3 linked regions of the Pelodiscus sinensis genome follow. The protein of the gene in region 2 interacts with the protein of the main gene of each other region in a pairwise test. Links are inferred from orthologs where the notes say so. Each region holds a gene or a part of one and is shown on either strand. Other genes may lie near its edges. The genes, in order: transcription cofactor HES-6-like, TLE1 and FOXA2.

The links.
Region 1: the proteins of TLE1 (region 2) and transcription cofactor HES-6-like interact in binary tests that used the Homo sapiens proteins (3 or more experiments, as listed by UniProt). The link is inferred for Pelodiscus sinensis from reciprocal best matches to the Homo sapiens genes TLE1 and HES6.
Region 3: the proteins of TLE1 (region 2) and FOXA2 interact in a two-hybrid assay, tested with the Homo sapiens proteins (2 studies listed by BioGRID and IntAct). The link is inferred for Pelodiscus sinensis from reciprocal best matches to the Homo sapiens genes TLE1 and FOXA2.

Annotation. Positions count from the first base shown.
Region 1 is NC_134720.1:10,123,184-10,133,417, reverse strand, and holds transcription cofactor HES-6-like, read right to left. Parts: upstream 3,907-10,234; 5' UTR 3,681-3,906; coding exon 3,600-3,680; intron 3,516-3,599; coding exon 3,269-3,515; intron 3,176-3,268; coding exon 2,730-3,175; 3' UTR 1,253-2,729; downstream 1-1,252. Other genes in the region: uncharacterized protein LOC142830745, read left to right, coding at 6,326-6,845, 7,846-8,039. UniProt on the Homo sapiens protein: Does not bind DNA itself but suppresses both HES1-mediated N box-dependent transcriptional repression and binding of HES1 to E box sequences.
Region 2 is NC_134716.1:39,161,338-39,171,434, forward strand, and holds the start of TLE1 (transducin-like enhancer protein 1), read right to left. Parts: upstream 3,890-10,097; 5' UTR 2,805-3,889; coding exon 2,781-2,804; intron 1,815-2,780; coding exon 1,714-1,814; intron 1,519-1,713; exon of another isoform or gene 1,046-1,518; intron 1-1,045. UniProt on the Homo sapiens protein: Transcriptional corepressor that binds to a number of transcription factors. Inhibits NF-kappa-B-regulated gene expression. Inhibits the transcriptional activation mediated by FOXA2, and by CTNNB1 and TCF family members in Wnt signaling.
Region 3 is NC_134713.1:196,616,058-196,625,270, forward strand, and holds FOXA2 (hepatocyte nuclear factor 3-beta), read right to left. Parts: upstream 3,896-9,213; 5' UTR 3,452-3,895; coding exon 3,357-3,451; intron 2,669-3,356; coding exon 2,599-2,668; intron 1,962-2,598; coding exon 759-1,961; 3' UTR 116-758; downstream 1-115. UniProt on the Homo sapiens protein: Transcription factor that is involved in embryonic development, establishment of tissue-specific gene expression and regulation of gene expression in differentiated tissues.

The sequences.
Region 1 (10,234 bases), on a different chromosome or scaffold from region 2:
TATACAAGGTGTACAAGTACATCTACTGCTGTAACATGCTAAAGTGGGTTAAATATGTGCCTGGCAGTACTTTCTCCCTTCAGCTATAGCTAAATGAAGCACATGCTGTGGGAGAGAAAATATAGTGGGTATATATGAGATTAGGGAAATCACACTATTTACCCTCAAGCTTTCCTTCTGTAAGACTTATAGGGCAAAGCTTTTTTACTTTGATTTACAGGGCAATGACTCTTATTAGCTACAAAATTCACTACTGAACCAAAGCTGGCATGTCTTCTGTCATGTTTCTATCACACAAGTGTCAGGATTTGCACTTTACTTTCACAAGGCCCTCAGAAGAGCCCTAACCAAGTCTTTTTATCTCATCGAAATGAAATCAAGCTGATCTGCCCCAGCAGTTTCCCCAGGCTGCCAAGCACCTCCCTGCTGCCAGGGAATCTCCCTGCAAGCAGTACACTTGGAGGAGCTGGAGGAAAACCATTACAAGAGTAGTTTGTTGGACATGCATGACTGATAGAGAAAATGTTCCAACACACATGAATGCACAGGACTTCACCAGAAGTATCTCATGCAAGTGAATGCAACCTACACTCAATTATACAACACTGTTTAAGCTGCAGGGGGTACTGTGCACATCTTCACTACCTTGGCACAGGTTAGATTTGTCTTCCATTTTCTGCCCTGCTGGCTGGTGAATTCTGGACTAGGGCTTTAAAATGCTGGGCATTTTTGTTGCTGTGGTGAGGAAATAGCCTATGGTTTTACCTTCCCTCAAGAGAATCTTACAAGTGAATCATTTGCCAGAGCCTAATGTTTTTAATGTTCAATTTATCTTTGAGCACTCACTATAATGCTTTGCTACTATTAGTACTAGTGAACAGTGGCTAAGAATAAAATGTTCAGAATGCAGGTATTATTGGAGGGCAATCACTTCTTTTAAACAAATCTGGAATCACATTCACTCTGTGAAATGAGTTTCCAAGAGATGTCATTTGTGCTTAGGGTGTTACTTTTAGTTGAACTGTCCATGCCACTACTTCCATTTACACATCAAAACACCATCCTCCCTCTCTAAAGCAGAAAGGTCTTTACAGGCAGTACTCTCACCTCTTTTGAGAAGTGCTGCTCTGCTTGCTAGTTCAAAGGCAGGTGAGAATTTTAGCACAACTAGGGAAAACAAACAACTCAGCTGTGAAAAAACACCCACATCAGATAATTTAAAGAAAGTTACAAAACAGAGGTCTACCAATAATTTAGGTATCCAATTTTATTGTTCACAGGGTTATTAACAAAAGAAAATTACATGTTTTCATCACCATGTACTTATTGTGCTTCCTCTCCTAGCTGGTTCTATTCTTAAATACCTCCACATGTACTAAGGAAGCAACATCACAATACTTTTCCTAACAACAGAGCTGTGAAAGGTAATATCTTAGTATAAATAACCTATATCTTCCAAAAAATAGGAACACTGAGGTGTATGACCTTGTATACATGAATGCTGGTGCTCCAGAGGTCATTAAGTATTTTCTTTTTGGAGAAAATTTTCAAATCTATTTCACACACTTCAACATCTGTCAATCCTTATAGCAGAATACAGGTAAAGAGACACAAGCAGATCAACTGCCTAGTACTCAAGTTAGAACTACAGCATTACAAAAAAGACTTAATTGGGGAAATCAAGTTAAGTAGTTGCTTGAGAATGGCAGTCACACAACCACTCCCAGGAATTTTAGTATCCTAAAGTCAACCTACAATACCACTACCTTGGTTTCCTTCAATATCCTAAGCATCTTTCAGTATTAAACAAAAACATTCAACTTCCAATACCTAAGCTAGCTATGCTTAGTACGAGAATTAAGTGCTAAATTACCAGTATTTTTCCACAATAGATAAAAATGTGTTAATACCAAACAATTTGGAACTGGATTTTTAATTTTAAAGTGGTCAGAAGTGTGTTACACTCCAAAATACATGCGATCATTTGTGAATACAATATTTTATTAAAGATTAAAAATAAAACATTTGACACCCTAATATACATAAAGTCACAAACTCAAATGTGCTAAAAGCAAAATGTGCATAAACACTCATTTCTAAAAGGCACCCTGCCACCAATATTAAATGTTTGTCTAATTCCAACTGATCTCTAGTTTACTCTTCCTTCACTGAAGGCAAGATTCCAGACCACTAAATAATAAAAGACAATAACCACACCAATCCCTTTCAGGGATCTTTACTTTCACTATAATGCTTAAAATTGTGCATGCACACTTACGTGATATACCTCATTGGTTAACCACCAAGGTATAAAATGCACAAGGGCTTTTTGTTTACAGAAAAAGGAAGTGATATTGAGGCCTTTTATAAGGGCCAAAAGGATGAGACAAGCATGTGAAATACCATTGTGCATCCACCAAAGAGCTTTGCGAACAAAAAAAAAAAAATCTTCTCCCCTCCCAACACTCCAAACTTTCCAAAAACAATCCAACAGTTACCAAACATCTCTCACACTGCTGAATGTTAACACATTTAACAATTAACCTGTCAGGGTCTGACAGTGTAAGAGTGCCATCTCTGCAGTCCTGAAATACAGTAATGGTAGACACACCCAATGCACCATCTGAAAGCCCCACTGTCTATTCCAATGGCTGTAAGGAGAACACAGTGCTCAAGTATTCCCCCATTACTAGGTAGATATCTGCTGATTCCTGTGCAGTTTTCTGTATTTACCAAGGTCTCCACATAGATTTGGCAAAGCTAGGGGAAGGCACATTGCATGTCCGGGAACTGTCCAGTCCAGTGGGGGAGGTCGGACTTTGCTCGGCCTCCGTCTCTTCCAGATCAGAACAGGTCTCCTCACTGGAGGACGGGGAAAGAAGAGCTGTAGGGGGGCTGGCCAGGCTCAGAGCTGCAGAGGACACCCCGGTGGGCTGGGAGAGGCCCTCAATGCCAGGCCAGAGGCTGATGGAAGGCTCTGACAAAACGTCCGCAATCAGGTCCTGGAGGCTGCCTTCGTTAAGCGGCATGGACTCCAGCAGGTGGTTGAGCAGCTGGGCGGCGAGGGTGGCATCCATGCCCGGGTAGCTGGAGACGAAGGTATGGACTTCGTGCATGCACTGAATGTACCCGGCTGCAAACCGCTCGCTGGCCTCCCGGTGCAACTTGTCGCTTTCTGCAGCAGCGCCCACAAGAGAACACACACAGCGGGAGTGAGGGGGCGCCCCGTCCCCCGCCCCGCCCCCTCCCCGCTCGGCGGGGCACTCACCGCGCGACCGGCTCTGCAGCGCGCCCTGCACCCGCCTCACGGTCAGCTCCAGCACCTCGGCGTTCTCCATCTTGGCCTGAAACTGCCGCCGGCGCGGCGAGAGAGGAGAGCGATCAGCCCCGCGCCTGGCCCGGCCCGCCCGGCCCCGCCCGCTGCCTACCTCGGTGCCGGCCAGGAGCAGCCGCAGCTCCCGCAGGCTCTCGTTAATCCGCGCGCGCCGCTGCTTCTCCACCAGCGGCTTCCGGGCCTGGGGAGAAGGGGAAACGCACATTGCACCGAGCGCCGCGGCTCCACCTGCGGCCCCGCTCCCCGCCCGGCCCGGCCCGCTCACCTTCCTGTCCCCTCGCGCCTCACAGGCGCCCTCCTCCTCCCGGCTGGGCCGGCTCTTGCTGCTTCGCGAGGACGGGGCCATGGCGGAGCGCGGCTCAAACGCCGCGGGCGGGGGAGGGGCGCGGGAGGAGGCGGCAGCTGGCAACTGGATCACACAGGCAGCCCGAGATTCCCCCGCCCCTCCCCGTGGCGCCGCTCCCCGGCCTTACTTATAGCCTCTGATTTGCATGTCAATGAGACCATTGGTCACTGCGAGCCGGGAGAAGCCGTAGCGATGAGCGAACTGACCAATGGGAGACCGGCGCTTTGTCTAGCCAGAGGCGTTCTGAATCTCCTCTAGTGCGGAGGAGGGAGGGGAGGCTAGGCGAGAGGGCTGGGAAGGGCAGGATGCTCGAGGTTGGATGGCGTTGGTTGGGGTCATCCCCTGCCTGCTTTTTTGTGTCGATTGTAATGGGATTCACTCAGCAGTGGGAACAAACTACCCTGTATATAGGATGGGATTCAATCTGAACTCCAGCAGAGTACTCCAATTGAAGTCTTTGCTCAAGTGGGGAAGGAAGCTCAGACATGTGAAAAGGGATGGGAACACTGGCACCAAGCCCTATGTTTCTTGAGGAAACTACTCCCTCTTCTGTTCCCACGAGCCATCTGGTACTGCTTGTCCAGCACCTTTGGGCCTGACCCTTGGCCAAACCAGAGAATTTACTGAACCACTCTGCTGAACCAAGGGAGGTAAATATTGCCTAGCAGCATTACCAACTCTTCCTCTGCTTGCTGTGCTCTTAGAATTAGAGCTAAATAATAGCATGGAACACTGAGAACCAGGATTAGTGGCTATGAACAAACAGTTTACAATACCGTTACTGCAGATCATAAGTCTATTGTTCATAAGGGATATTATTATCTTTGGCACTAATAAAGTCCCCTAAACTCTTTCTATTGTTATCAACAAATCTTCCAGGCTACATCATGAACATATAACAGTTACCATTTTCTAGAATTCATGCTACATTTCCAAAGGTGTTCACAATTAAATTGCTGCCAAATTTTCATAATTCCACGAACAAAAAACCTCAAAAAACCAGCAGAAATCTCTTTTGCTCTATTTATTAGATATTAGGAACCAATTTCCAGTTACTTTATTGGTATGTGTACTTTACAGTGTATTATAAATCTCCCTGACAACTGTTTCTTAACAGTATTCATGTTATTAAAGGCATAAAAAAGTAAGAGATCTGTTGTAATCAACAATGTGGGTGTGAAGAAGGCTAAATTGTGCAAGTAGGAAAGCAGATACAGATATTTGGAGGAAAATGCCATGGGTCCAGGCTTCAAGTCCTTACTTAATCTAAACTCCAATTAAAGTCAATGACTTAGGAGTAGGCCCTCATAAGAATTCAATATTATGAGAAATGTGAATATTTACATACAATCATAGACTAATTTAAATTTTTTCTAGGTGATGTTTGTCTTTTGAATACTTGATTTATTTAGCAATTACCATGAAACAGCATGTGTATTCTTCAAAATCAGACTGATCATCAAGTCAGACATTGAAATTCTATAAAGAATCATGATCCAATGTATTTGCAACACATTTGAAAAATTCCTCCCTTCCTTTCTGGATTTTGTTGCCTTTTCTGTTCCTTAACCTAAAGAATGTGTCTTTGTGAATGTAACTTGATGCTGATGACAGTTGGCAGCTGCAGTCCCCTCAACAGACTGAATCAAATAAAAAGCATTAGGTCTTGTCCCCAAGGAGAGCGACAGGTGTTTGCTCTCACTTCTTTGTTTCCTTCTTTTTCCTTGTTGGTAATGTATGTCATATTTTGACTATCTAAGAAAATGAGATGCATCTCGTGTGTGTGTAATCAACATCTTAGGCACAAAAAGACAAATGCATAGATATATGCTAGTACCTGTATCTGTCTGCCTCTCTGTATGTGTTCTGCATAACACTCTTCATTTCTGCTCAGTACTACATGGCTGTGACTAGACTGGCCAGTTTTTCCGGAAAATCCGCCGCTTTTCCAGAAAAACTTGCCAGCTGTCTACACTGGCCGCTTGAATTTCCAAAAAAGCACTGACGATCTCATGTAAGATTGTCAGTGTTTTTCTGGAAAAACTATGCTGCTCCCATTCGGGCAAAAGTCCTTTTGCGCAAAAGGGCCAGTGTAGACAGCTGAGATTTGTTTTCTGCAAAAAAGCCCCGATTGCAAAAATGGCGATCGGGGCTTTTTTGCGGAAAAGCGCGTCTAGATTGGCACAGACGCTTTTCCGCAAAAAGTGCTTTTGTGCTTTTGCGGAAAAGCATCCGTGCCAATCTAGACGCTCTGTTCAGAAAATGCTTTTAACTGAAAACTTTTCATGCCAGTCTAGACGTAGCCCTAGGCTGTGTTTATACTGGCAAGTTATTCCGGAAAATCAACTGCTTTTCCGGAAAAGCTTTGCCACTCCCATTCGGGCAAAAGTCCTTTTTCTGGAAAACTGTTCTGGAAAAGGGCCAGTGTAGACAGCAAGCTAGCGCTTTTCCGAAAAAGCAGAAGAAACGGAAAAAAGTGGATTGGATACCTGGAGACCCAGTAGGAGCCCTGGACTTCCTGGTAACCCGAGCTTCTAAAGCAGTTGCAGGCTGCTGAGTGCACGAGGCAGGAGCGTGCCTCAGCCCTGTGGCCCGAGCTCTGCCACAGCGCCCCTGCCCTGCTCAGCCAGCATCAGAAGCCAGCCATGGCAGCGCCTGCTGGTGAGTCCCCTGCACCCCCAGCTCAGGAGGCCCCCAGGGGCTGCAAAAGGCAGGCTCCCTCCTGGACCCCCAGGGAGCTGGAGACCCTCCTAGACCTCTGGCAGGAGGAGGAGGGTCTCCATGACATCCGGTCCCGGCGCTGGAATGTCGATATCTTTGTCTGGATGGCCGAGGCTCTGAGCCAACAGGGACACGCTGTCCGGAACAGTGAGCAAGTCCGGGCAAAGGTGAAAGAGCTCTGGCTGGGGTACGTGCGGGCCAGCGAGGGCAGGGGGGCAGGACCAGACACCTGCCCCCGTTACGACCGGCTGCATGCCATCCTCGGGCAGCCAGCCCTGCAAGGCCCGGATGTGCCTGTTGACACCTGTCAGCGCCCCCCCGTCATCCGAACCACCGAGGCAGGGGAGGAAGAGCACAGCATCAGCGCTTCGGGAGAGGAGGCCAGCGTTGCCACCCAGCAGGCCCTCTCCAGCAGCTCCTCCAAGGCCGGGGAAGGATCCACTGGTGAGTCTTTGCAGTTTGCACTCACAAGGGCGGAGGGTGGCGGGGGGGGGAGCCAGGCACCCGGAGGGGGGACGGGGAGAGCATGTCACTCAGGCCACGTGAGCTGCACGCTGTGTAGCATTAGACAGCAAGCAGCACGTGCAACCCCGTGCAGCCTGGTGACCGAGTGGCACGTGGTTGCGGTAGGCAGCTGCAGGGCACGCCTGGGACCGTGCTGCTCACACACATTCGGCGGGACCAGGGGGAAGGATGGATGCCGGCTGGGACCAGCCAGGGCCCCAGGGACTCAGCCCAGAGCCCGCACCTCCGCCAAGGGTGCAGCACGGAGAACGGCACACTGTCCCATGCCTGGCTGTGAGGCACAGCCAGCTGCTCTTGGGTACGCCGCAGCGTCACGGTCCTGTGACCATGCCCCACCGAGCCCCTCGCCTGCTCCCGGTGCCTTGACTGGCTCCCCAAGGGAAGTCCCCACCGTGGCCACACATGTCCCTGGGCTACTGGGGTTGTGGGAGGGATAGTGGGAGGGAGAAGGCCCGCCCTGAGTTTTGCTGCAAGGATGGGACACACCTGCCCCCCAGTCACTCTTCTGGTTCTGTCCAGGAGATATCCCACGCGATGGGATCTGAGAACCCAGACCACCTCTGCCAGATGTGCTTTCAGGCACTGTGTGGGGATGCATCTCGCTCCCTGTCAAACACCAGTGATTAGCCCAAAGCTTCACAGTCTCCACCAGCAGGGAGTTCCATGGGTGTACGCAACACAAGCACCCTCCCGCCCTCCATGGGGCCAGGACACAGACCGGTGGTTACAATACTAGAGGAGGACCCTACTCCAGGGGCGGTCCTCCTTGCAAACATACAACACGGGGGGCAAGGGAGGAACCGAGTGGGCCCAAGCCACACAACTGTGGGGTCACCTGTGCTCAGGAGTGGAGGGCATGAGGTGTGGGGACAGTGGACGGCCTGCCTGACTGACCCATCCTTTCTTCTTTTCCCTGCAGCGGGATGGAGCTCAAGACCTTCCAGTCCGGCAGCAGCGGCACCCCCAGCTGGCCAACCCTGGAGGCGCAGGCTCCGACACCGGGACCAGCTGCTTCGCCGCCACATTGTAGCGGTGGAGGCAATCCAGGGCTCCATTCATGACTGTGTGCAGGGGGACCTGCAGTGGCGGCAGGAGGCCTGGGGTGCCTTCTAGGCACAGTGTACAAGGATGGCTGACTCCATGGCCATCCTCACTACGCACTTTGTGCACGCCATGCACTATGGCATGGCCGTACCCTATGACCCCACCATCTCTCCCGTAGCACTGCCCATGCCCCTGCAATGGCCCCTGCTCCTATGCCCCCAGCTCCTGCCCCTGCTCCTGCCGCCCCTGCTCCTATGCCCCCAGCTCCTGCCCACCTCTCCGTGCAGCCTGCCCCGATGCAGCCTGCCCCGCATGTGCAGGTCCGCCCCCGAAGAAGCGCTCGCAGGGGCCACCCGTACCAGTAGCACCTCCCCCTCCCTGTTCCAGTTGAAGGTCTCCTCCCCCTCCCCCTTGTAAATAAAAAGTCTATTGTTCAGTTGATTCTTGTGTTGGTTATTGTGTTACTCGAGGTAACTGTAAGAAATGATTTGAGATGCCAATTAGCCACCTAAATTTAAAAGGGTTACAAACTGTGGACACCAAATTCTGTATTCTATCACCGGGGGTCCCTTTTTAAGTGGTCATTGGTTTGTGGCGCATAAATAAATACTGAGACTTTTCAGTAGAATTTAAACCACTAACTATATTTAACATAGATAACAAACAAGCAAGAACGGTTAAAAGACTCACACTAAAGATTATGTAACATAGTCTAGGTGCAGGGAGGATGATTGTTAGTTGTGACAGGGCGCCTGCCCTGCACTGGGCCTTTAAGCCCCAGGCTCAGGCCCTAGCCTGAGGGAAGCTGGAAGACCAGCTGAGATGGTTAGACTAATGAGCTCAGCTGCCAGCTATAAAAGGAGAGGCCCAGTTGCTGGAAGGGGGAGTGCAGGGCTGACTGCAGAGGCAGCAGGAGCTCCTGGGAGGGATACAGCTGCAGGAGACGGACTGGAGAGGGAAGCTCTCCCTCAGCAGTTGCCGGGGATGGCAGGAGAGGCCTGGAGGAAGGCAGAGGCGAGTTGGTGTCACCTGGAGACTACCTGCCGAGGGGACACCGGCCTGGAGATCGCAGCCAGCTGGGCAAGGCCAGGTAGGAAGTGGCCCAGGGCAGGAGCGGGAGGCGCCCCTCTTGGCCTGAGAGCCTTGGTGGGTTTTGGCTAGCTAGCCCCACCGAGGGAGTGACCCTATACCTGGTCGCTCACAGGGCCCTGGGCCGGGACCCGGTGGAGTAGGGTGGGCCCAGGTCCCCCTACCGGGGGGGTGCCCAGCTACGACGAGAATCCGTTTGTGGACTCGGCCTGTTTAAAGGGCCAGTATAAACTGCTGTGAAGCTGATGATGAGCAACCCATACAGACTGTAACTTGCCCTGAGATGGGCCATGTGAAGACAGTCAGGGGGCACTGAGGCTACTGGGGGGGCGTGCGCCCCGTGACATTAGTGTTGCTGGCAACCTCAATCCTTTGGTCCTTCCGGGCCTTGGGAGAGGAACAGCCAGGAGATCCCTTGACGGAAGATGAGGGCGAAGCTGGCAACCTCAATCCTTTGGTCCTTCCGGGCCTCAGGAGAGGAACAGCCAGGAGATCCCTCGAAGATGACTGGAATCAGGTATGCTGACTTGAACCTTCCGCTCGAACCCCGAATCCTCTTCCCTGTTCTTTGGGACAGGCGATGGTGGCCTAAGCGCTAGCCTAAACTAAAAAGAAACACCCTAACTACGTCCGACGCACCCGACGAACAGTCATGATGACGGCCGATGTGCTTGGAACCGACGCTTTACAATTGGGGGGAGAGGGTGGGGAAGGGATGGGAGGGAGTCGTGTGGGGAGACCCAGGCAACCCTACTACGGGGCTTGGGCAAACATGTCCACCAGGGCCTCTCTGATGCGCACCGCATCCTGGCACGCCTGGCGGACAGCAGCTGTGTGGGGCTGTTCAAACGTCTGTGCCTCGGCTGCCATCCATGCAGGGAGGAAGGCCTCCTCACTGCGCTCCACAATGTTGTGGAGCACGCAGCACACGGCCACTACCTCCGTTGCATTCCGCTCACCCATCTCGAGACGGGTGCGCAAACAACGGAAGCGGGCTTTCAAATGTCCGAAGGCGAGCTCCACCAGATTTTGGGCCTGGTTGAGGCGGTCATTGAACCGGGCCCAGTTCTGGTCTGGCTGCCCCATGTAGGGCCGCATTAGCCAGGGCAGCAGGGGGTAGGCTGCGTCCCTGATGACGCAGATGGGCATAGGCACATTCCCGACAGTCAAGTCCC
Region 2 (10,097 bases):
TAGTGTAATAGAAAAAAACTGAATATGAATATTAAGAGTACATAGCATCCTTCAAATCAGATTCATTTTAAATACATACTAAATAAGGCTTTAAATATTAAAACACTATATACTTAGAGTGATTACCAAACATTGCCACAACCCCCAGGACTATTGGATTGCCCGAATTCACTAGTTTAACTCTTAGTGAACTAGAAAGCTCTTTACACTTCACATGTAATGTACCAGAATTTAACAGCAACACCACTGTAGGAAATTCAAGGGCATTTCAATTCTAGACTTTTACTCCAAGAAATCTGATTTTGTACTTCACTATCTTGTCAAAGACTGGAAAAGAGGTTCTCTCTTTTTTTTTTTTTTTTTTTTTTTTAAGTATTATTTAAAATTCGGCGTGCCTTTATTTTTTGTTCTCCTAAGTACATAAAAAGTAAATGGAGAAACTAGTTTCAAATAAGCTGTACCATTTACTACTCCAATATTTCCAATTTAAACAAAATATTAGATACTACTTCTTTAAAAAAAGAATCTATTACCAGTCCATATTACAAAAAAAAAATAGTAAATCTATCCAAATGGTCATCTTTTGTATATGTAACAGTACACAGTTGATGCACTTTTAAATGCAAGAGTTATCAAAAATAAACACAGGCCTTTGTGAGTTACTATTTAGAAATAAAACCCAGGGACAACAACATGAAGAATGTGTAGTCCAAACTTTAAAAAGATAGAAATATGTACATGGAACTCTCTATTCATCTCTACTCAAACACAGGATACAGCAATACACCAAGGGACACATTCCCTTTTAATGCCAAAAGTACTGTCCATACAATAAGGGGAAATACATCCTTGACATGGGCAGAGACCTCAGCAACATGCACAAGAACTGGCAATATATCAAGAATAGTATAGCAACCATAACTTAGATTACCAAAGCAATGAAATTCACTTATATGTGGTAGCACACTAAAATACTTGCATGCTTTTTTAAAAATCCTTATTTGCTCTTTAAAGTCTTATTTGCATCAAAAAAGTGCAGACATACATAAGCTGAGAACCAGCCTTTTACATTTTCCCCTACAGTTAGAAGGGGATATTCTCTCCCAATACTTTGTAGGCTTTTCACTAAAGAATCCTATCAAAGAGTTAAATTCCACACTCCCATCCTGAGCATTTTACAGATGGTTCCATATATTAAGTGCCAGAGCTGGGCTTAGAACCTAAACTGGTCCTAAACTCAGACACTCAATTTCACCACTGGACTTCACTGCTTCCCATTGAACTTCTAGTTCTTATTAAAACCTTATTTCAACAGTCCTTAGTACTGGAATGCGGTAACATGAGGACAAAGTCACCCATTGACCTGCTGTTCTGAACACAGCCTATTACAAAATTCCCAAGAGCAAATATTGACAGTTATTGTGAAGCTCTAAAAACACACAGAAAAAGTTCATCTGAACAGCAGCAAAACAAGCTATGAAAACAATGGCAAGTAAAGAAAAGGAGTGAATGACAGGACTTAACTGTGACTCCACACGCCACCATCTGGACACAGACATAAAACACAGCTTCTCCCACCAGCAAAAGTGGAGATAAGAAATACACCCCACTGAACAACACGTTGTGCACCAGCCTGAAATCCTCAAACGCAGTATGTGCCTCAGGCCTGCGGTGCAGGGAGAATTGGGTATGAAAAAAACATGATGCACCCACCTGTGATACTGAGCTTGGAGGAACTGAAACTCCTCTTTGATCCGATCTAGAGACTCTGGAATAGTGAATTTAAAAGGCTGACCTGCAGCCTGGTGTGGTGTCTAGAAAGGCCAGGAGAGAAGAAAGAAGGCACAAGAAAAGAAAAATGTTTAAACAAAAAACAGTGAGCAAGGCCATAAGATGGGCATGAAAGATAAGCTACTTATCCCACTGTCTTGGCAGGTAGCTTCTTAGGAAGCACCTGCTCCCACCACCATTTGCCACCCTACAACTGGGGCACCTCCAGCAACACATGAACAACTGTGTGTGCTAATGGAAGCGGGGAGAAACTTGGAGATCCAGCTCCTCCTTCCACTTATCACGACTGCCCACTACACCTCCTCCCCCACAAAAAAAGAAGTTGGTTTTCACTCCACCCTGGAACACCCCTCAACTCTCCTTACACTTGTCACCACCATCCCAGGAAAACTAGTAGGTTGCTAACCGCTCCCTGCTGTAAAATCAAGTGCGGTGGGGGGGGGGGGGGGGTGGAAAGGCGAGCTCATATCCTGTCCCTGGGTCCAGCAGCCAGAGCTTATTTGGCCACAACTAAAGAAGGGGGAAGGAGCCAACCTGGCGGGGAGGCGGGGGAGCGTCCCGGCCCCGCCATTGTCATTTAGATGCAAATAAGTTACACATTAAAACAAAAGGGAAGGAGGGAGAGAGGAGACGCCCTACCCCCATCCCCCTATGCTCTCCGGTAGACAGGCAAGGTCTGAGTTCCGGGAAAGGGACACGCCGGGGGGGGGGGGGGGGGGGGGGGGGGGGGAGAAGAGCAGGAAAGCCAATAAGTTGCCTCGTGCCCTGTTGTGGGTCTGCTATTCTTAGGGCAGGAAGCCCAAGGGCCCGCGGGACTGCGAGAGCAGGAGGCGGAGGCGGTGGAGAATGTAGCCCCGACAGCGAGAGAGGCTGACTGGGCAAGCAGGGGTACTAGCCACTCACTCACTCACTCACCCTGGGGAAAGAGCAGCGGGGATCCCCGCTCTGTCACCCCCACCTGCGGGGTGTCCGGGCCTGGGGTTACTTACGGGATGCCGGCTCTGGGGAAACATGGCTCTGGCCGCCGCTTTGCTCCTGTGCAGCTCAATTCTCGACTCAGACCCCAACTTTAGATCCCGAGCCCCGTGCAGCCCCCGGGGGCAGACGCCACCGCTCAGCGCCCCGGCCGCGGCATGCTCCTCCCGTCGCCTCCTTTGTTGTTGTCGGGCTGGGGGCTCGGTCCCGCCGCTTTCTGAAAAGTCACCGGCAGGTGTCGGCTCCTTGGGCGCGCCGGCCCCAGCCGGTCCCCAGGCCGCGCCGCTCCGCGGGGCGGGGGCGGCACAAGGCGGGGGGTGGCTGCTCCCCTCGCTGCCTGACCGCCTCCTCCTCCTCCGGCCGCCGCTTCTGTCTGCAGCGTAAATAATCCCCTTTCGCAGGCTCGTAACTTGTGCAATTGTAAGACCGGAAACTCCGAGCGGGGGCGAATCCTCTCCCCACGGCTCCTGCCCGCAGGGGAAATCCAGGCCGGGGCGCGGGCGGGCTGGCACCAGCGGGACACTCAGCAGATAGGGGCACGAGAGAAAGTCCCCGGCGAGTGCCGCGCTGCTGCTGCTCCCGGGCGTTGGCGAAAGGGCCGCTCGCAGAGTAGCAGGGGCCGGCTCCAGCGGCACATGCACCGCGGAGACTCCTCGGGCCGTTGCAAAGAGAGAGGCACCAGCAACACCCACCCCCTGCTCCCAGGCCACCCTCCCCCCCAAGCGCACCCGGCAGGGCTATTCAAAGGCTAATCAACTCCTCCGTGGATCAGCCCCGCGGCAGCCTCGCTCGCAGCAGCGGCTCTCACCAGCAGCGCCCCGCGCGCAGCAGCATCCTGGGCCGGCGCCTCGCCCCGCTCACGGCCGGGACAAAGTTCTCTCCAGCGCCCCGGGGTGACACATCCAGACAGCGGCGGGCGGGGGGAAAAAAAACCCAGACCCCCCCCCCCACTTACAGCCGCGCCCCCATGGCTAATAGCGCGCAGGATGCAAACTCCGCGGGGTGCGGGCCGAGGAGCGCAGCGCCCAGGCAGTAGCAGGCTCTCGGTACACGGGACACAATGTATCCGCCCGCGCTGGCTACATTAACACGCGGTTTCACACTCCTCTAGCTAACCAGCCACCCGGCCCCGCCCACTCGAAGGGAGGTGGGGAGGACCCTGGCCAATCGCCTGCTCAGGCACCAACGTGGGGCGCTGATGTACTCCTCCCGCCTGCCCAATGGGGCAAGCGGCTGATCCCTCCAGCTCTCCTGGCAGAGCGGCAGGACCCTTCCGAGCGGACCAATAGGAGTCCGTGGAACGCTCAGAAAGGCTGGGGAGAACGGGAAGGACGGTGGGAAGGAGAGGGGAGAGGCTGAACTGTCACTCAAAGTAACGTGGGCGGGGGGGGGGAACCAGAGAGAAAGGAGGAGGAGGAGGAGGAGGAGGGGAAAGAGAATGGAGGAGGAGGAGGAGGAGGGGAAAGAGAATGGAGGGAGGAGTGTATTGCTGGGATCTGGTTTATTCCTCCACTTTGCCCTCCCTCCTTTCTCTAGTCTCAATCTGTGAAAGTAACATGGAAAGATAAATACTGCATCCTATTTTAGGGCAGGACCAGCTGCCTTTACAGCCAGACGTACAGTGCCCTGCTTAAACACACAAGCTAAGGTGTAGAGTGTTATGCACTAGGGCAGCCTTTGAGGTTAGTGTGTATATAGTTATCTGTATCCAATTTTTCTTAGAACAATTCACCTCGAGGACCAGAAGGAAAGTTATGAACATGACAAAACTCAGTTGCTGGAAAGCCAATTTACCCATAAGATCCACTAGTGGTCAACTATTTTAATGTCTTATGTATATACATACTCAGTTGTATTTAAATATAAATTATACAAATGACCACTTTATGCTATTATAATACAGATATACAGCCCATCCAAATCACCACAAATCAGGCCCCATTTTGCTCTCATACCTGTTTTTATTAAAAACAACATTCAGTGCTGTTCATTGTTGTAAATTGAAAGCACTTTTAGCCTATGATTTTTTATCTCAGCATTTACTTTCTAATTCTAACAGACAACTATGGTATGCATACATATTTGATTTATAGGTTATGTACAGACAGGTGCATAAACTATGGCACCCACTTATAGTGTATTTCAATAGAGGAGATACATAATAAAGTAGGAAGAAAGTCTCACCTCAGGTCTAATATATTGCAATATAATTTTAGACGGTAACCTCAGACAGAAATGAAGTTGTCCATATTGCGTAATACTGACTTTTTCTAAGGGAGTTTCATCAGAGCCAAGCACTCAGAAACTTCCAATATTATAAACAGTTTATAGGTCTATTTGAAATAGACTAGGGTCAAATCAATTCCACATGTTCCATGTGTGACTACCACCATGCCAAACACTGACACAGCCCACAATGGGATGTAAACATCTTTAGAACACATCCTCTAGTAACAACCATTTTATTTATAACAGAATTTAATAATCAAGCATCAGGCACGAATAGCTTTAAATTTAAAACAATGCTTTAATAAATGTTCATGTACTTATTCAGTTACTGTAATATATTTTACCTAGTGGAGAGATTCTAAATATTATAGGGAGCCACTTGAACATAAAGAGAGCAATTTAATAGTAAACATTTTTTCACCCTATATTTAAACTTTCCTTTAAATGTGTATGCGATTGATTTATTCATAATTGTACTTTCAGTATATAATTTAAATTAGAAGTGATTATAGTTACAATTCAATAGGAGTGAAATCGTTACATCTCTGAACAAGAGCAATGTATGGCTTTATTCAATTCTCTATTATTTTTGAACTGCTTTATTACCAATTTTACCTGCATTTAAGAAATGACAGAAGACAGAGGTGTGTGTGTGTAGGGGAAGGTGTGGATAACAAAAACTAAAACAAAGCTCTTATTACCTGTGAGTATTTTGCAAAATACCAGATGAATTTTGCACTCCTTAGGGTTTTGAATGTGATACTTATAAGGCTAAGAAAATATATTTTCTCCTTTCACCATTTCCTAAGGGTAGTCAACAAAGATTTGCTTTTAAATAGAAGGCAGTGTTTGTGGTAGCAGATTGTAAATTTGTCTAGTGGTTCATGCACAAGTCTGGGAGTCAGAATTTCCGAGAAGTCTATGGCCAACTCTGCCAATGATTTGCTGTGTTATCATGGGCAAGGCACTTAACCTCTCTGTGCATCAGTTTATTCATATAAAATAGATATTATTAGCATATTTAGCTATCTCACAGAGGCAGTAAGAAGTTTAATTAATTAATGCTTATAAAGCACTTTAGATTCCTCAGATGAGAAGTGCTATAAAATACAAACTATCATTATATATGGTAGGAGTGCACCTGGTAGTTATGGAACCTGAGACAACACAACACTTTCTCATCCAGCTTTGGTTAATACAATGCTTAGCCTGCTGGCGCAAGTTGTTAATGAGATATAAACAGATTAAGCATTAAAACAGCAGTATATTTTGGAACAAGAACAAAAGTGGATATTTTAATTGCTCACCTACATGAAAGTTGAAATGTCTTGTGATCTTTACCGGTATTTACCATATTTAAATTTTTCAGGGCATGTTTTAACAAATGCAGGAGAGCACTCTGTTTTCCTCATTCCTTTTAACAAGTTCTTTCTGACCTACTGAGGTGCCAGGAGCAGAGACTTAAGGGCATTTTGAGCCTCTTCCATCAAAATCAGAATGGATAAGCAGTAAAACCAGTCATAGAACTGTTTGATTATAAAACGGGTTGATTTTTGTAAAATGAAAGTTATTATATGTATTAAATAAATAAATAAATAAATACTCGTTCTTTCATGTAGTTAATTTATAATTCATCATGGTCTGATGGTAGGGGACCAAAATCTGCTCTTGGCAGACCATTTGTTGTTTTTTTACCAATGTAAATGTAATGTTAATTGCACTGGAGTCCATGATGTTTCTCAATACTTAAGCCAGTGCAACAAGAGCAAAATTTGGATACGTTGAAGAGTAAAGGTATAGAAAGCTCAGCTGTATCCCATTCAAGGTAATATTTTCTTTTAGACTGTTATACTGTAATAATTATACTACTGCATTAAAAATAATGATGTTTAAACAATCAAGCTGCTTTAATCTTATGTTTTAAATAAACATGCTGTTTGCAGAGGCCTTCAATAATAAAATACCAAAAATCTCTATTTAATCATAATTTCTACTCATTTATTTGAAATCTGATACTTTTTTCCCTTACTACGAGCATACTAATTTGATGTTCTGATTTCCGACAGTGTCAAGGCCTAATCCTGTTTTGATTTTGTACCAAAACTCACAATGACATCAGTGGGAGTTTTGGGTGCACAAACCAATCAGGATCAGGCCCAAAATGTAGTTTTATTATAATATTAGGTTTCAGATATAGCATCTTGCTCAATCAGAGGAATGATTTTCATTTGATTTATTTTTTTATTCTTTACAGTTAGCATTATTGGTTACAAGCAATATGAATACATTTTCACTTTTTAAAAATTCCCACAGAGTGGCAAAATCTTTATAATAAAATGCTGGTAATGTCAATTATCTGGAATTTGCTAATGGAGAAGAAAACTCTTTCTAAAAATTGTAATTTACTTCACTCCTCTGCAAACCATAATGCGGTAAGAAAAAAATTTAAAAGACAAGTATAAGATTTAATAGGGTTTATGCTTTTAAAATTATTTATTTAAAAATTCATTGGATTATCTTTCAGAAAAAGAAGATGAACATTTTAAAATATTTGGTTGCAATGTGCTTACTGTACAGCTAGGAGCAAAACTAGATGAAAGAGTGCCTGAGTCATATGGTATATGTAATATAATAGTGCTATATTTGAAGAGATTATAATGGTTATAATGAAATGCAAAAGGAGTATTTTTTCAAGATTCTGCCTTATTTATAAAATCAAAATTATAACAAGATAAAATTATTTACTTTATCATAATTCACTATATTACAGTTAATCAGCTCTTTACATATTTTTTCAACTTTTTTCAAATTAATAATTTGTCTTATAAACAGGAATTTTTGACAAGTTCCAGGATGACTTTTTTCCTTCATCTCGCGATTACCTTCTCTCAGTTTGTTGCCCTTAAAAAATTCTTCCAGACTAAGTAGGAAAAAAAAATCAGTAGCAAATTATGCATCAGTAAAACCTCAAATAAAATCAGATCCAAAGAATCTCTTGTGGTTTCACACAATATGGTAAAATTAGAGATTGCAGGAAACCAACAAAATTAAATTGGGAACATCTGAAGAGAAATGACCAGGGTTTATGAAAATGACACATTGACTAGCCAGTATGCTTTTATATCAACAATTTCTTTGTTAAGGCAGAGATCAAAGGAACCTGCATATGTTTTCATTTTATTTCAAGTCTAACTAGAAAATTACATCCAGATGTTTAATAGGCATTCTGTTGGTTTTTCTGCATTGATTAGATATGTTGGTACTGTTTGCTTACAAGTGTAGCCGGATCATTAGCTAATGCAAAGAAATGTTTGTAGTGAGTTGCTAATTAGGTCTTTTGGAAACTCTCCACACTCAGGAACAATTTGTATAGAGGCCAGAAGAACTTGCAATACTTGAAGAGTTGCTTTCCCGTCTGTCTCTGGGAAAAAACAGTCAGTCCCTTTCCCTAATCTTCTTTTGCCTACAGGGATTGCAGCTTGATCCCAGTGGGTTGAAGTGCAAATAAATTAGGAAGAGACCACACACACAAATCTCTTTTATCAGTCAATCTGCAGGCATGCTATTTGACAAAAAGTTAACCAATATGCAGTGTTTGAGAGGAAAATGTGTTAAATTTTCCACCTTAATATTATCAAATACACAGCATTTTGAGCATACTTTAGAGACAGATGGGGAAGCCCTTTATGATAAATGAGTGTACTTGAATCCATTACTGTAGTACTTATAATTACAGTAGCTCCTTTATAACTTCAGTACTTTCCCAGAGTACTTGGAGACAATGCTTTGGGGAAGTGAATACATGCCTGCTGAAGGAAAAGGAAAGGGTGATTAAGACCTCTGGGAGGGACTCTGTGAAAACTGTGATAAGACTAAAAAAAGGTGTCAGAGATATTACCCTTTTATAGTGTAGTCAGAGACTTTGTTTTAGACTTCATGGCTCCTGCCTGATAACCTTCTAGGTGCAGTGTCATCTTTCATAAGATACTTTATAATGTCAGTGACCTTTATAATGAAGACCACCTGTCAGTACATCATGCTTTTTGCCTCTCACTACAGAAAGAAATCATAGAAGAATGAATAGTGTGTATGTATTTTATATAGTAAGCGCACACATCCTGAAAATAAAAATATGCTTAACTTTATTAATGTGAATAATCACATTAAAGCTATTGATGCTACTCATATTAGTAAAGATAAGTGGTATGTGTGTTAGATGTTGTGGGATCAGCATGTATACAATAATCATACGCACACTTTTATAAATGAGGCTGTATGACTCCAGGGGTTCTGCTTTCCTCTGTGTTGGAAAACATCTAGAACTATTAAGATTATCATAAGATAGGTGGTAGTAATAAAAATAAATAGATAATATATCATTGGTATAAATGTTAATTTTCATAAACTATGGCACTTCTGTCCTCAGCCTACAGGAAAGATAAAATGATATTTTGCAGCTTTTATACACAATAGATGCATCAGTAGAAACTCTATATTAGAGGGTCTGTGGAGATTGTATCTAAAGCAGGATTTAAATTCTTCTGCTTCACCATGAAAATGAATGATTGAATTTAATCTCCACTTTTGGCGCTATATATCCTTATAGGACAATTGAATTTTCTATGTAATTTTTGCCCTATTTCGCACATTTTCTTTGGCTGCTTTAGCTGAACAACAACAACATTTCCCATGAACTCCAAACTTCAGAACTGTTTGCAAAAACCTCAGATACTGGTCATTTTTCAACTGTAATATTAAACAGAGAAGGAGTTATTCCTCTTATTTATCATAATCTAATTGACTTTCACCACGACTAGCCAATGCAACTCCACAGAAGAACCAGCTGTTTCTATTTGTCGGTACTGTCAGTCTGCTTCCTTGACAAGAGGTAATATTTTAACAAATGACATTTTTCAAAATTTGTGTAATTTGTTGTTAAAATTGTTTTTGTCAAAATGTTTTGACCTGCTGCATCCCTAACTAACCAATTGTGTCTTGCATGTTCTCCTGAATCAGGTAGACAGATTGTGCAGCCAGAGTGTGACGAGAGAATCTGGGAAAGGAAGATAGGAATGTAAGGAAGGTTTAGTGAGGATAAGGGG
Region 3 (9,213 bases), on a different chromosome or scaffold from region 2:
ATCTGAAATAAAAAGGGAATCCATTCGTTTTTCGTTTTCCTTGTCAGCGTTTTTTTCCCCCCTCCAGCGGGGCAGAAACAAATGGGAAAATCCGGGAAAAAAAGATTCAGGGGGAAAAAACGCCAATAACACTTTAATATAGTTTTTGTGAAAATCTGGCTCTTTGGGACCAGAATACACATTTATAAGCCATAAATAAAGCATACAGAAACGATAAATTAATCAGATCCAAGTAGTTTACTCGCCCGGTAACATCAAACGTTTGTATCAATTACAACAATCTAGCCTGACTTTTTTTTTTCTTTTTGTGATTTTTTTCTCTCTTTTTTTTTTTAACCTTTTTTTGGTGTTTTTTTTTCCCTCCCACTTTTTACACAACATGACAAGACTTTTGGTCCTCCCTTTCCGAACTAGCCTGGTTTCACACCGAATTAAGTTTTCCGTCACTTTCACACACGCACGCACAGGAAAAAAAATAGATATATTTATAACTCCCTGCAACGAAAAAGAGGACCCCACCCTCCGCTGCCCAGGACATCAAATAACGCCCCTCCCCCCCCAAGAAAGCACCCCAAGTCTCCGATTGAAACGGGGGTTTCCGGGGCCAATCCGGGGCCCGATCCGTTGGCCTTTGGACCGGGCTGGGAACGTGTCCTCGGAGGTCGGTCCCGGACACAAAATAGACACAATAGCTGGAGCCACGAACGCCGGCGAGGGCCGACCTCCGTCCCCTAGCCGGGTGGGGCCGGGGAGCCCTTTCAGGACGAGTTCATGATGGGCCGAGCGTACACCCCTTGGTAGTAGGCGGCGTCTCCGGCCAGCGCAGAGGGGTCCAAGCCACCTTTGTTCGTGACGGGCCCCATGGCCAGGCTGCCGGGCATGGGGGAGCCGTAGCCGGAATAGTGCATCACCTGTTCGTAGGCCTTGAGGTCCATTTTGGGGGGGTGGGGGTGCGGGTGGGGGGGCGGCGGCGGCTCGGACATCAGGTTGTTGATGGAGAAGGGGTGGTTGAAGGCGTAGTGGTGCTCGGGCTTGAGGTGGGCCGGGTGGGCCAGGTGGTGGGGGGCCAGCAGGTGCTGGGCCGGCGAGGGGGCCTGCTGCGGGGGGGTCCCCGCTTTGAGCTCGGCCAGGGCCCGCTTGTGCTCGCGGCAGGGCGAGGCGCCGGGGTGGGGGGACTCGGCGGCGCTGTCGGAGCCTCCTTCCCCGGCTTGGGGGGCCGCCTGGGGGGCCGGCGGCGGCTGCTTCTTGCCCCCGCCGCCTCCTCCGCCGCCCCCGGCCCCCGCTCCTCCCCCGCCGCCCGCCTCCTTGCTGCGCTCGCACTTGAAGCGCTTCTGGCGGCGCAGGTAGCAGCCGTTCTCGAACATGTTGCCGGAGTCGGGGTGCAGGGTCCAGAAGGAGCCCTTGCCCGGCTTGTCGGGCGAGCGGGGCACCTTGAGGAAGCAGTCGTTGAAGGAGAGCGAGTGGCGGATGCTGTTCTGCCAGCGCTGCTGGTTCTGGCGGTAGAAGGGGAACAGGTCCATGATCCACTGGTAGATCTCGCTCAGCGTCAGCATCTTGTTGGGCGACTGCTGGATGGCCATGGTGATGAGCGAGATGTAGGAGTAGGGCGGCTTGGCGTGCGTGTAGCTGCGCCGGTAGCTCTTGGGGTCCCGCGCGCGGCCGGCCAGGTTGCCCTGCCCGTACATGGGGCTCATGGGCGTCATGTTGCCGTAGGGGGCCAGCGAGCCCCCCTGGGCGCCCATGGGGCTCAGGCTGGGGCTGAGGTGGGCCCCCATGCCGCCGCCCATGGGCCCCGGCCCGGGGGACATGCCGGCCAGAGAGGGGCTCATGCCGGCGCCGTAGGAGACGTTCATGGAGCCGGGCCCGCCCAGGCTGGCCGCGCCGCCGCCGCTCATGGCCGACATGCCCATGTAGGTGTTCATGCCCAGGCCCGCGTTCATGCCGCTCACGGAGGAGTAGCCCTGCGAGGGGAGAGGAGCGGGAAGGGGGGAGGTTAACGCCGCTGCCAGGCAGTGCGGGCCGCCCGAGCGAGGGGGCTGGGGCGCCCCCCAAGCGCGCCCCCCCCTGCCCCCGCTCCCCAAGCCCCGGGGCGCGCTGCGCTCTGGCGGAACCGCAGCCGGCGGCTCCCCGCAAGAGCAGCGCCGGGAGAGGGAGCGGTCGCCCCGCGCTGGGGCAGTGGGATCGCGGGGGGGGGGGGGGGGGCTGGCCGGGCTGGAATCGCTCCCAAGCCGCTGGCCGCCCGACCCCCCTGGATCCGAGGATCAGGACCCGCCGGCTGGCTCGGCTCGCAGGATCGCCCCCTGCGCGTTGCCCCCTTCCGTCCCCAAACCCCGTCTCCGGCCACAAACTTCTCCCCGGTCTGCCTTGGCCCCCCTCCCGCCCCGGTCCCCCCCGGCGGTTCCCCTGCCAAACACAACTTTGTGAGGAGAGCGCGGGCCGGGCAGAGGATTTGGAAGCGGCGCGAGTCAATATTTGAGCACAAAGTTAATATTATCTCACGGCTCACCCGGCGCGGCAGCCGCCCCGCGCCCTGCTCGGGAGGGGGGGGGACAGGCACACACCCCCACCTCCCCCCCAGGAGCCAGCCGGGCGTCCTACCTCGGGCTCGGCGTAGTAGTTGCTCCAGTCCGCGGGTTCGTGTCCTTCCATTTTCACGGCGCCCAGCATACTGGAAGCGGAGTGCATGGCCGTTTAAAATTTAACAGCCACCACCGACGACAGGAGAGAGAACAACCCAAAAAAAAACCAACCCCCCCCCAGCCCTCCCTCCCTCCCCTCCAGACTCACTCCCGCGCTGCCTGCCTGCGAGGGGAGGGGAGGGGAGCAGGCTGCTAGCTTGGGGTGGATGCTTTTTTTTTTTTTTTTTCCTCCTGCAGCCGCTGCTTGGGTGAGTGGTGGGGGGTTTTTTTCAGCCCAGACTCGCCCGGAGGCGCTGGGGAAAGGAGGAGGCGCAGGACGAATGCAGCTGCTGTGACGTGGGGGCCTGGGAGATATAGCACCGGGGGGCCCCCCGGCCGGCCTCCAATCCCTTCTTCCCAGGCAGCCGATTTGAATAATCAGCTCACACCTAAGCGACAGGGCACCTGCCCGCGGCGGGGGCGGCCGGATCGGGCCCCAGGGCGAGCGCGCTGCGGCTGGACCCGGCTTGATGGGCCCCTGTTTTGGCCTCTGTCCGGGGGCGGGGAGGGCATGTGGGGTGCTCTGCAGTGAGGACCGCAGCAGTTCCCCTTCCCTCGCTCCCTCCCCAGCTCTGGACTCTTCCTGGTTTGCGAGCCTGGCTGCACGGCCCTCGGGGCTCGCTAGCCGGCCACCCAGCCCGAGCCTGGCGCTAATTCGAATCCGGGCTGTTTACACACCTTCGGCCCTCCCGACGCGGCTCCGGGCGCGCGCGACCCGGCGTCACTCCGCTCCCGAACCGAGCCGCAGCAGCGGCGGGGGTATCACGCCGCATTCCCCCCGCGCCGCCTGGGGCTTAGGAAGGGGTGAAATGGCTGGGGAGCGCCCATTCGGCGGCGGCAGGGCAGCCTGGCCCGCGGTTACCCAGCCACCGCCGAGGTAACTAAAACAAACAGGGGCAAGGTGCGGGAGCCAACAGCCGGGGCCCGGGACCTGCGATTGTCTCCCGCAGCCCGGAGCAGCGTCTCCTGCGCCAGCGGCTGCCCCCAGGAACTACCGGCCAGGTCCCAATTCACCCACAACGCCTTCCCAGCGGGAACGACCCCGCATCCCAACGCTTGGCCGTGGGAACTAGCCCCGTCCCCGGCCAGCTCGCCACGCAGCCCCCTGGGAAGGGGACGCGGGGTCATGGGTCTGGGACACGCTCGGCCAAGCTTCCTCGCGGGGCCTGCTAATTGAGAGTCCATTTTGTAACTAGTGGGGGATTCTTTTCCCGTGTCCCTGTTTTCTTAGATAGATGGATGGATGGATGGATGTGTATGGAGAGAGAGAGAGAGAGAGAGAGAGAGAGAGAGAGAGAGAGAGAGAGAGAGAGAGAGAGAGTGTGTATGGGGAAAGAAAGAAAGAAAGAAAGAAAGAAAGAAAGAAAGAAAGAAAGAAAGAAAGAAAGAAAGAAAGAAAGAAAGAAAGAAAGAAAGAAAGAAAGAAAGAAAGAAAGAAAGAAATCAGACAGACAGACAGACAGAGGAGGTGTATGGGGATCGATAGATAGATAGATAGATAGATAGATAGATAGATAGATAGATAGATTAGATAGATAGATAGATAGATAGATAGATAGATAGATAGATAGATAGATAGATAGATAGATAGATAGATAGATAGATAGATAGATAGATAGATAGATATGGTGTATGGAGAGAGAGACAGGCAGACAGACAGAGAGAACACTACTTGCTCTTCTTGCCACAGTTGTTCGACCAAAGGCTGGAACTTGTCTTTATTTTCTGAGGATACTTCAGCCGCTGTTTGAGACATTAAACGAAGTCAAGTGTCTTTAACAGCTTCGGCTCATGAGAGATTAAACGGTCTTTCTCGAGGAATAGAAAACAGCGATTCTGCGAAGGGGAGTGATCCTATTTCGTTGCCAATACCCCGCAGACACCTGGTCTCCATCCGAATTTTGAAGTTAAGGTTGTAAAGAGAACAAGTGATTCTAGTTTTGTCTGACAAAATTCTGTCGTAAAAAAAAACAGGGGACGGTGTCCTGGCATCATCCATTATTTTCATGTACAAATGTCCACTGAAATCGACACCCTATCTATCTATCTATCTATCTATCTATCTATCTATCTATCTATCTATCTATCTATCTCCATACAACCCATCTATCTATCTATCTATCTATCTATCTATCCCCATACATCCCCTCTATCTATCTATCCCCATACACTCTATCTATCTATCTATCTATCTATCTATCTATCTATCTATCTATCTATCTATCCCCATACATCCCCTCTATCTATCTATCCCCATACACTCCATCTATCTATCTATCTATCTATCTATCTATCTATCTATCTATCTATCTATCTATCTATCTATCTATCCCCATATACCTCCGCTATCTAGCTATCTGGCTATTTATCGGCATACACCTCTCTCTCCCCCTCGTCCCCATACACATCTATCTGTCTGTCTTACAAAACTTCTCCCTAAAAAGATATCACTATCAATAAATGGCGTAATATGTCCCACTAACTTTTCTTTCAAAGAAGACAAACACTTCCCAACTCTAAGAACGAAGGTTTTATAATAATTATAATATAATGCTGATATAGACCGCCCCAGAGGTTTTTCATTTACACGCAGACACTCATAAAATGAATAATTTTATAACGGGTACAGACATGTCTAAAGAAGCCAACAGTCGATTAAACAGAAATGTTAAAGGACGCCAACAAAAAAAATCAGCCAACGTGATTTTGTGAGAAACTGAATATTTTGTTAATAAAAATATGAATCTCTCTTTTTTTATTCTGCAGAATTAGCGGCTTTTCTTCTGGCTTTTTAAGAGTCCGTATTTATTGTTTCAACTAAATGATGACAATACAGAAGCCAAGCTACAGGGTCCCTTGGGAATAAGTGTGGAAAGCCAAGATCTGATTAGCACTCTTTTAAAAAAATAGATAAACTGGCGCTTCTCCTGTGTCTTGCTTGATGGAAACAGACAGTTTTTCTGGCACCTTTTCAGGGTCTTACAGATTAAAATATAGTGGTAGAGCGCCCCCTGTCGTTGGTTCAATGGCACTCCATATTCAATAGGATGAGGGGCCTGATCCAAAGCCCATCGAAGTAAATGGAAAGATTCCCATTGATTTCACTGGGCTGTGGATTAGCCCCTAAAACCAGTGCCTCTATGTGTTAGCCTTCATTTTAGAGTCCAAAGCAGCCTGCTTCTTAGCTTGTGCACAGTGGCATACTGCCTGATCCTTCTACTGTAACCAAATGCTTGTAGAGTGATTTTAGAGCCTCAGATGAAGGGTACATCAAGCGGTTGTTTTTCTTCTCAGTATGACTACACTTTTAAAGAATCCTTCCTATTAAACAGCAGCCATAGCCCCACAAGACAACCAACTATCATTAATGAATAATTGCAAAGAGGTTAATTGGACAATTTAAACATTCCCCCTCCCCTCCCCTCCCCCCACACCCACCCCTACTCCATACACACACAATACAATTGTCTATTCTAAATGTGCTTGTTCCTGTGAGGTTTCATGTATCTTCTGAGCACAGTTATTGGTTTGATTAAATCACTGGGTAGAATTCTGTGGCCCTGTGTGATGTCAGAGGTCACACTAAATTATCATAATGGTTCATTCTAGCCCTTTAGTCTGTGTAATTCTTTTTGGGGCCCCTTGAAATGGCTGCCAGTGTCCCTAAAAGCCACCTGATCTGGCTACAGTGGATTCCTCCAGGGGGAAACCACCTTCTGAGGACACACTTGCAGGCTTTGGTGTAGGGAGGTTCGAGGAGGAAGGGACATTCTGAGCACACTGCAGCAACAGAGAAAAGAAAGGAAGGAATATTGTGTCCATTTTACAGATGGGCAACTGAGGCCAGGGAAGATGTGGGTGATGGGCTCTTCACTCACCTGTCAAAACTGGGGCAAGATCTGTTTTAGGGATGGAGCAACTATTTTTTGGTGTTGGTCATCCACTACATCACATTAGAACAGTGCATGTGGCTTGTACTTCAGTGTTTCCTTCCACGCTCCTCTCCCGCTCAGTTTAACCATATGCAATACAACAGAAAAATGCATTGCTTGAAAGGGAAAATATAAGGAGCTGATTAAGTAAAATCAATTAAGAGGATGTTGCATATAAATAATTGAGGGTGAATGACCCAAAGATCAGCTATTTCTAGTTTAGTGCTTGACATTAAGTTAAATCTTTTTTGGCATGGTTCTGATGGGAGGTGACTTTTTTCCCCAGGTATGAAATCAAATGGCAACAGTGCCACGAGGAATGATTACGTGATCGTGTTCTAACCGTCTAACAGATGTCAAGGGCAAAATAATTCCCCTGAGTTCAACAATAGTAGGAGCAAGTCCTTAAAGAGGATTTTCTAGCACCAATCAGATTGTCCAGCCTACACCTACACAGCGCTTAACACGCGGTTAGACTTGCTATTGATCTCGGCAGGGTTCCTCACAGCGCATACAATTAAGCACATCGATAAAGCTTTGCTGGCTCAGAGCCTACATTTATCCTAGGTCTGGCCTGCACCTAAAAGTGAGATCAGCTCTAACTACACCACTTAGAGCTGTGAAAAATGTCAGCCCCTTCCCACTGCAGATGCAGCTAAGTCTTTCTCTCATCCAACCTAGCGACCGCCTCTCCGGGAAGTCCGTTAGTCACAGAGATGGAAACAAGGATCTTCCCCCAGACCTGAGAGGTTCCAAAAGGATCCTGTGGGATTTCTCTTTTCTCTTTTACTAATGCTGAGATTTCTGCCCCAAATATTCTAATTCGAGGGCCTTTCCCGACTACAGAAGAAGACCCCAGGTCTGCCCCTGCAGTCATGCCGTTGGATTTCTACGGTTAACCAGATGCCCTCTGTGTTCACATTTTGCAGGGCTGGCGGGTGCACTACAGATGTCCCTGGAATGGCATATACTCTCCATAGGTCTGGTCCCATGACCAGAACCACTCCTGAGATCCTCAAGTTCTGTTGCTCATTTACACCCAGGCCTTTGACGGGAATGTGCCAGTGTCAAAGTGTAATTTGCACCTTAAAGTAGGCGTAAATTGCATTTCCACCAGAGAATGTCACAGGGCATTTGCAAAGGTCCTTTAAAAATGGATCTGGGAGAGCAGGAGTAAGACAGGAGAGTCTGAACCTTTTAGACCCGCTGCTGCGATGCTTTTTAGAGTGTGTGATGGATCTTTCAGTCCCAGCTGGTCGACAGACAATCAGCTGGTGTCATTCCCTTGCCTGTTACTACATGGATACTTAGTAGTAACTGTTCTGTTTCAGAAGTTTCAGTCATCTAAAGAAGTGGGCTGTGCCCACGGAAGCTCATGATCCCATCTACATGTTTTGTTTGTCTATAAATTGCTACCAGATCATTTGCTGTTTTTTTCTGTAACAGACTAACTCGGCTACCCGCTGAAACTCCACCCTGGTAGTTCTCTCCACGCTGGAGAAGAGTGAGAACTCACTAGCCTCCAGATGTCTGTGCACCTGGCCCCTAAAAGCCTGTTAAAACACCGCATTCTCCCAATCCAAGGGAAGGCACTATGGAAGGGAAACTACGGTAACCAGGACATTTCAAACCAAGGCCCCTTTTCTCCTGGAGGAAGCTTGCCCTTCCAGCACCCACAGGGAGCAACGGAGGTGTTAATCTTTGTTTTCTTTCCACTTTCTGCATACAGTGATGCAGAGATTTGCATCCACCGCTTCTCATGAATGCAGGCCGTGGGGTGGCGGGGGGGGGGGCATTTGGGAAATACATGAACCCATCATGCCCATGCTATAAATGGTATCCAGGGACTGATTGATCCTATTTTTTTTGGTTATGAATACACATTTGAAACAAGGGTTGTGCTTCTCGCTTCGGAGACACCTCAAATGCCAAAGGGTAGGAGGAAACGATTTCCTTTGGACAATCGGTGCATGAAATGCCCCGGACTAGTGCCTCCGATCATGTGGAGGAAAGAATGGAAACATAAGGGTCTGATGTGAGGCCAATATTCAGTTGAGAACTTTTGCACAAGGAATTGGCATTTATCTTGTGCTGTAGCAGGGAACTCTACATATCATAACATAAGAACATCAGAACGGTGACATTGGGTCAGACTACAGGTCCATCGAGCGCAGTGTCCTGTCTTCTGATAGTGGCCAGATGCCCCAGGAGAAATAAACAGAACTGGGAATCATCAGGTGATCCCTATCCTGTCACCCATTTCCAGCCTCTGACAAATAGAGGCTAGAGACACCATCCCTCTTCATCCTGGCTAAAAGCTATTGATGGACCTAACCTCCATCAATGGATCTAGTTCTTTTTTGAACCCTGTTAAAGTCCTGATCGTCACCACATCCTCTGGCAAGGAGTTCCACAGGTTGCCTGTGAGCTGGGCAAAGAAAAACTTCCTTTTGTTTGTTTGCAACCTGCTGTCTGTTCATTTCTCGATGACTCGATGACCTCTTGAGGTCCCTTCCAGTTCTAGTCATCTGTGATTCTAGGATTAGCTACAGCTGTGTGGCTCTGAGGCACTGACAGGGCAAACTGACCTCTGGCCGCAAGGA